Diceros bicornis minor: one gene and its partner. The protein of the gene in region 2 interacts with the protein of the main gene of each other region in a biochemical or structural test. Links are inferred from orthologs where the notes say so. Each region holds a gene or a part of one and is shown on either strand. Other genes may lie near its edges.

Region 1 (3,748 bases), about 17 Mb from region 2:
TTAACATCACAGGAAAATTACAGAGACCAAAAACTATCATCCAAATCAAGAATGCAAGCCATACCTTGAAAGCCCCTGCTCATCTTACACTAACCATGATCTATATGGTATCCTTCAAATTCTCCTCTAATTTCTTCTAAATGCTATAACAATATTTCTCCTACCTCTGAAATGTAATTGCCAAAGTGTAAGCCTGGGCAAATCTAAGCTAATTTCACTAAATAATTAACAAAAGATTTAAATTTCATATACTCTCTCACTACTACAAAGCTGTGAATGTCTGTGAAGTTCCTTCAGGAAATACAGTTTTATTAAGAAATGTTCTATTGTCAGTTATCTTTTTGTACTTTGATCTCCCTCATTAACTTTTTTTTAAACGTTTTATTTTTTATTATTTTTTTCCCCCAAAGTCCCAGTAGATAGTTGTATGTCATAGCTGCACATTCCTGTAGCTGCTACATGTGGGACGCAGCCCCAGCATGGCCAGAGAAGTGGCGCATCGGTGCGCGCCCAGGATCCGAACCTGGGCCGCCAGCAGCAGAGCGCACACACTTAACTGCCAAGCCACGGGGCCGGCCTCCCTCATTAACTCTTGATTTTTTCTACACTCAACTCTCTCCTGAGATACATATTGGAGATTCTAATAATCAGTTTTTAACTGTTAATACAATAGCTTTAAATAATCAATTTAGATTCACAGAATATAATTTATGTATTCCTCAGTGTTCTGTAATATAAAGCCTTTGAATCTACATAGAATATTTAGGTGGCAAACACAGACATTACTTAATATATATAAAGCAATCCTAGAACATTCTCAATTATTTCATTTAAATAAATAAAGAAGAAATATAACAACATGCTATTATTTATTATTTTGTATCTGTAAATGTATGCAATGATTTTATGTAACTAGAATGTCTACAAAGAAAAAAACTGTCTAGGCAAACAATAGATTGCAATTATAATACTTCACCATGAGATTAGTTTATCATTCTTAAACTCTACAAAACAGCAATCTCAACCAAAATCACATATACAACTTGGGAAAAAAAGTTTTCTTTGATGACTCTATATATGCTTTCATGTGTTAACATAAGTTGCTAAAACAAGAAAATTTACTCCAATTTCATTATTGCATAAGCAATTGGACAATGATCAAATAGCAGACCCAAGATTCAAAACCAAATTTAGAAATTCGTTTAGTAGAATAAGTATCTTAAATCTTTTCCATACCTATTCTATCAAAAAGTTCTCCCCCACTGCAGTACTCCAGAAATAGATACTGGATATTGCCTTCTCTCCTGTGACCATAGAATTTCACTACATTCTCATGATTTAACATTTTATTGATACAGATCTCTTTCTTAATATTTTCTGGACAGTCTATGGCACGCTTCATGTCTACTATCTTCACTGCAACTGCTTCTTCAGTTCTTCTATTCACAGCAAGTTGAACTCTAAAAAGGAAAAGGAAGACATTTGAATTCTTTCTTTTAAAACTTCAAAAGATTAAACATGACTCATCCAACTATTTTACCTTTATTACTTTCTCTACAAAGGAGAAACCAAGGAAACAGTTTCTGCCATGTTCTCAACAGATACTACTCCTTTCTGACATGTAAGGTATGATAGTTAATGTCCCAAGGAAGTCATTATGCTATACATCCAAAAGTCATTTAATAAACGCTTGATAAAATAAATTAAAATGGGATAACAGCAATTGTATGCCACATCACATATATGCATACACTATTCATTTAATTTTAATAACATTACCTAACATATATCAATCCGACACTACATACACCTGTGTTAACTGTTCTAAGCATCTATGCGGTAGGTACTACTATTGCCATCTCACAGCTGAGGAAACAGAGGCACACAACCGCATTAAGAAGCTTGCCCAAGAAAACAAAACAATGACCAGTATGTGACAGAGTGAGGGTTCGAAACCAGTCTGACTCCAGTGTCTGTTCATTTGCTCACTTAACCACTATGCTTAAACCCCAGGAAGGGATATGTGGGAAGAGAAACTGACTTTAGAAGTCTCTTCCAGCTCTTTACAAACACTGTTGGAAAAAAGCAAGAAAAAAATTAATTCTTACAAAAGATTGTGCAGCTTCAGTTCCCAAAAGTCTTGGATTTCAAATGCAAAGATCTGTTCGCTAAGGCACCACTGTATTAGAATAAACAACTCCAAAACAATGAATATGTATGTACTCAAACAAGACAACAGAGAGAAAACTAAACAAGCGTGAAGGCAGGGTAAGCGGACTCAAACTCACTCTCCATAGGCACCTTCTCCCAGGGTTTGCACCAAGTCCCAGTCTTCCACAAAGGGCACTGCCATGACTCCACTACGAACCACGGCTGCAAAAGGTAGGAACCCAGAAATGATGGGGATGAGAAGAAGCCTCAATTATCTGTAAAGCCACTGAGCTCTGGCTCTTGCCATGATTCCTCAATATAAATAATAGCTCTTGGTTTCCCCTTACACCTCATCCACATTTTATCCAAGTCTTTTAACCACAAGCAAGTATGTATTCTAAATTCTGGCACTTTGTTGTGTTAATCACAATCCGCATTCCCACGCAACCCGACGGCTGAAACTCCGCCTTCCTCAGGCCTCAGAAGAAATTTAATAGTTCTGTTGAGGAGCTGGGGTACAAATGCTTTACGGTGGATGACTGGGGAAGAGGGTGAAAGAGGTGGGGTTTGGGTGGGAGAGTAAGAGGATGCGGCCTCATGGGGGCGGAAATAATAACTACGACCCCTGCAGCCCCTCCTCTCCACTTGCTCAGTCCCAATACCCACTCTCACCCCGTCCCAAAGGCCGGGAGGAGCCGGGGCGGGGCCAAACTGCCCCAAGAAGCGGAAGGGCTGGGTGGCAGACGGACGGCCGGGGCCCAAACCCCTGGGGTTCTCAGCCAGCAGAGAGTTGGTCTCTCCAGTCCCTCTACAATGGGGACCCCCAGTACTCCTCCACCCTCCGAAACCGCCCTCCGTGGGAGTCTCTCCGATCCCCTTCGCCTGTCCCCGGTAACATTCTCTCGCCGTGCCCCTCCTAACTAATGTGGACCCCGAACTCCTTCTCCAAACTGGTTACCCACCCTACCGACCGCCTCTCCTCACCCTCGTCCTTTGCCTGCCACCACAGGAATCCAAATACGGCGCTTTTCCCGCCAAAACTTGCTCGCGTCACACGGTCGCAAACGTGCGCACCCTTGCCGTAAAGCAGGAAAGCGCGCGTTCCCGTGACCGCTGCCGTAAGAGTGGCCGCTTCAGGTGGCGGGCGCCGGGAGGTTACCCCCAGGTTTAAGCAGGCCGGGCCTTGGGTTACTTTGGAGTCGAGGCAAGGTCCTGGCTGAAGAGATTTAAGAACTGCCCGCCGCATCAGTGCGCATGATCTCTGGGCCCAGACGCGAAGTGGTCTCCGGTGTGGGACCTCGGCCAGGCGGCCCTCACGCTCCTGGGCGGAGCCGAAGCCCCTCCGGAGATGTGCCTTGACACAGCGGGCGGCGCGGTCCTCGCGTTCGCGCCCCCTGTGTTCTGGACCTGGCGGGCGGGCGGGATACGTGCCTACACCGACCAGCTCGGGAGCTCCGAGCACCTCGCCCGGCTGCTGGCAGGATTGTGAGGATCACATGCAATGACTGTTGCCTCTCTATGTAACTTTAAAGTGCGCTACAGAAAAAACGAGAGCGGAGAAGCTAAGAGCTGCTGTTGTAATTGATCTTTTGAAGAG
Region 2 (3,748 bases):
TCTTTATTCCTAAATATACTAAAGACGTTATTTGTAATGCGAAAAAATGCATGTTTACTGAGCATGTGATACTTGCAGGAAGAGGCAGCCTTAAACTTTTTTTTTTTTAAGCTGTGGCTTTTCTGAACTTGTTTTTTCCTCCTTCCATTTCTCAAACATTGATTGCTTTCAAGAAAACACAACAGTTCAGTATTATCTATATAAACAGGAGATATTCATTCACTGATACATGCAACAATATTTACTAGGCAACTACTGTGTTTGAGGTACTATGTTAGGGATAGCTAAACATATAATGAACTAAATAGACACAAATCCTAACCTCGTGGAGTCATAACTAGTGAGGGAGAGTGACAATAAGCAAGTATAGTGATAAATCAATGTATAACTCCAAATTGTGATATATGACTCAAAGGAAACAAATATATAATAACAACGGAGAGGACCACTTTTGATAAACTGAGAACACATCTCAGAGGAGGTTACAATAAAGCCAAGATCTGAATGAACTGGTGCCAATTACAGAAAGAGCTAGAGGACCAACATTTTACGGAAGTAGAATAGCATAGCCAGAGGGTCCTAAGATGGAAAAGTGCATGGTATATTGGAGGAACTGAGAGAAGACCAAAGAACTAGAGAGTAGTCAGCTAGAGTAAGTGTCACCAGATAAAGCTGAATTCAATTAATACATGAATCCAGAACTAACTAGGTTCCACTGCCAACATGCAACTGAAACAATACATATTTGCTAAGTAACAGCTTCTGAATTGACAAATTCAATGTTCTTTTTTAGATTTCAACTAAGTCGATCCCTTTGTAGAATCTGACCAGGATGCCTACATCCCATCTTCCTGGATATAATTCTGCCCTTGGCATGCCACTCTTTACTAGTGGTAAGAGTGTGGGCTCTGTAGCCAGATTGTACTGGTTCAAATCCTGGCCCTGCCACTTACAAGCTGTATAACTTTGGGCAAGTTAGTTAATCTTTTTAAACCTCAGTTTTCTCAATGATGAAAAACAACACTAGAATCTACCTCAAAGAGTTATCTATGGATTCATGTACATGTTTAACACAGTGCCTGGAACACAGCAAATGCTCAATAAATGTTAGCAATTATCATTATTCCCTCCCTTTCTGATGGTTTGTTTTTTTTTTTTCTGTGAGGAAGATCAGCCCTGAGCTAACATCCATGCTAATCCTCCTCCATTTTTGCTGAGGAAGACCGGCTCTGAGCTAACACCCATTGCCAATCCTCCTCCTTTTTTCCCCCAAAGCCCCAGTAGATAGTGGTATGTCATAGTTGCACATCCTTCTAGTTGCTGTATGTGGAACGCGGCCTCAGCATGGCCGGAGAAGCAGTGCGACCCTGCGCGCCAGGGGTCCGAACCCGGGGCGCCAGTAGCGGAGCGCGCGCACTTAACTGCTAAGCCACGGGGCGGCCCCCTTTTCTGATGGTTTCATGAGTCTCTTTTGATGGTTTTTCTTCCACCCACACCTGAAAGAACATCCTTGTCTCCTTACTTCTCACTCTATGTTCTCCCAGTGTGATCTCATCCATTCCTATGACTTCAACATGTTGAAAATACCCAAATCTATTTTATTCAATGCCAAACCTCACTCTTGAGCTTCAGGAACCTTCTACACTTTGTGCCTTTACATGCATTTTCCCTTGTCTAGAAGGCTCCTACCATCCTCCAGAGCAATTTAACACTGCGAGGGCCCACTGCGAACTAAATTGATTCTTCCAGGCTCAATTTCCACAGAACCTCATTCACTCCTCTACCATCACAGTACTCTTCCATCACATTATCACCCTGAGTTGTAACAGTCTTTTTACTTATCTGTACCTGGTAAAAACAGCAGCGAACGCTCCTGACTTCTGACCACACGCAAGGCTATCACATCCGTACGGCGAGGTCACATAACAGACAGTCACCTTTCGAACTCCAGCAGTGTGTTTCCAGAGCCCACGCTCTTAACCACGCGACGGTAGTTTAAGCCTCAACAAATGCTCGCTGATTAAAACTACTAATTATGAGAGAGAGAAAAAAGGATGATTAGTCACGTCATCTAGTTAAATCTGGACTCTAAAGTGACAGGGAAAGGGGACGCGCAGGGGGGGTTCAATTCAGGGCATTTAGAAGAAGGTTCATGGCCAAGTCCGCTAAGGGCTCGGAGAGAGGGCGGGAGAAAGCGATGAGGACAGGAGGCCGGCAAAGACGTGGTTTGGAGAGGAGTAAAGGGCCGCTCTGGAGGAGCGCATGAGATTGGGTGACTGGGGACTAGGGCAGAACGGCTCGGATACGATTGAATTCCCCCACGCAGAAGCCACTGCGTGGCTTTCGCGCCCCTATCGCTGGTCTCTGGTGGCCAAATTGTAATCTCTGGGGGCGGCGGTGGCTGCAGCCTAAATCCCCGCCCCACTCACCGTCCCCCGCGGCAACAGCAGCTCGATCCAGGCGTCCACGCACTATTCCCGCTTCCGGTTCAAACCTGGCTTGACCGCGCAGCTTCCGACTCGGGAGCAAGAAGTAAGGCAGACCATGCGGCGCGTCTGCCCATGCGCGCCAAGCATCACGCGCCAGTCCGCTCCAAACACTCGCTGCCCCAAAACATTCGGCTCGTCTAAGGAAACGCGCCTGCGCCTTGCCCACCAATGGCGAGCGACCTTGCGTTTGGGGCTCGCCCTCTGGCTCCTGCTTCTGCGCTTGCGCCCCACCTCCTCGCCCCCTTCAGCCCCACCCCTCCAAATATGAGGACGGAAATGACGTCAGTCCCAAGGCGAACGGAGGCGGGTTTCATTTCGGCGCCTTTCTTTGTCGTGCGGAAGTGATTGGCTGGCGTGGAGCGAAAGAGGCGGGACACTTTGCCGCGGGTTCAGTGCCGCCACTGGAACCGGGAGATGCGGCGCAGGAGCTGTCGCTGTGTTGCCTTTTACCTGAGTCTTGTCTCTTACTGTGGTTCCTTCTGCGGCTTCGATCATGTTGCTACCTTCAGACGTAGCCCGGCTCGTATTGGGTAAGCGCGGACGCGGAAGGGAGGGATATTGGGCCAGGATAAGCAGGACGAAGGGACCTTTGGGGCCAAAGGTTTTCCCTGGGTGGGGAAGCTTCGGGGTTTTGCCTCCCCGCCGACAAGTTCAGACTGGCGGTGATTCTCCTTTAGCAGGGGGCTCGGGCAGTTTGAGCCTCTTTGTGGGGAGGTGGGGGGGATAGTCTCTCCTCGGAGGCTGCGTGGCGAGGGAAGAGAACACCTGAGGCCCGGATTCCGAGGGAAAGTCAGGCCTGCACACTTAATTGGGACCCCTGCAGGAGGGTTGTCTACGTGACGGACGGACTGCGTATTTTTGCACCGTGGGCGCACTTTCCCTTGTCAGAGCTGGGACCAAATTAGGAAAAATAAGGACTTCCGCAGCCACCCAGCTTTGTAGAAAGACCTTCCTGACGCCCTTCTCATAACTCGCCCTTAGAACAACCAATTTGGGACGAAGCGGGGTGCCCTTCCCTCTCCATCCTCCTCCCCCCGCCATTAGTCGTCCAGTGTAGAGGTTTGAAATGCCAGTTGCGTATTTTAAAACAGCAGCCATTCTTATTCTTTTGGTTAGCAAGAAATTTCACTGAGGAAATGCCTTCCATTTGAACGTTTTCTAGTCCTAGTTAGTTTTTCCTACATTTGAGGAGGGTTAGTTCCACGGGCCACTTGTCAGAGTGTATTGTCTGTGTGGGAAACGGGTTTTGTTGTTTGTCC

What was found. The genes of interacting proteins can lie anywhere in the genome.
Region 1: of the proteins of ATM (region 2) and CHEK1, one has a biochemical effect on the other in vitro, tested with the Homo sapiens proteins (2 studies listed by BioGRID, with this or other methods). The link is inferred for Diceros bicornis minor from reciprocal best matches to the Homo sapiens genes ATM and CHEK1.

Annotation. Positions count from the first base shown.
Region 1 is NC_080746.1:10,471,271-10,475,018, forward strand, and holds the start of CHEK1 (serine/threonine-protein kinase Chk1), read right to left. Parts: upstream 2,374-3,748; 5' UTR 2,354-2,373; coding exon 2,289-2,353; intron 1,461-2,288; coding exon 1,237-1,460; intron 1-1,236. UniProt on the Homo sapiens protein: Serine/threonine-protein kinase which is required for checkpoint-mediated cell cycle arrest and activation of DNA repair in response to the presence of DNA damage or unreplicated DNA.
Region 2 is NC_080746.1:27,549,982-27,553,729, forward strand, and holds the start of ATM (serine-protein kinase ATM), read right to left. Parts: upstream 2,612-3,748; 5' UTR 2,430-2,611; intron 2,030-2,429; 5' UTR 1,849-2,029; intron 1,080-1,848; 5' UTR 1,035-1,079; intron 1-1,034. Other genes in the region: protein NPAT, read left to right, coding at 2,983-3,019.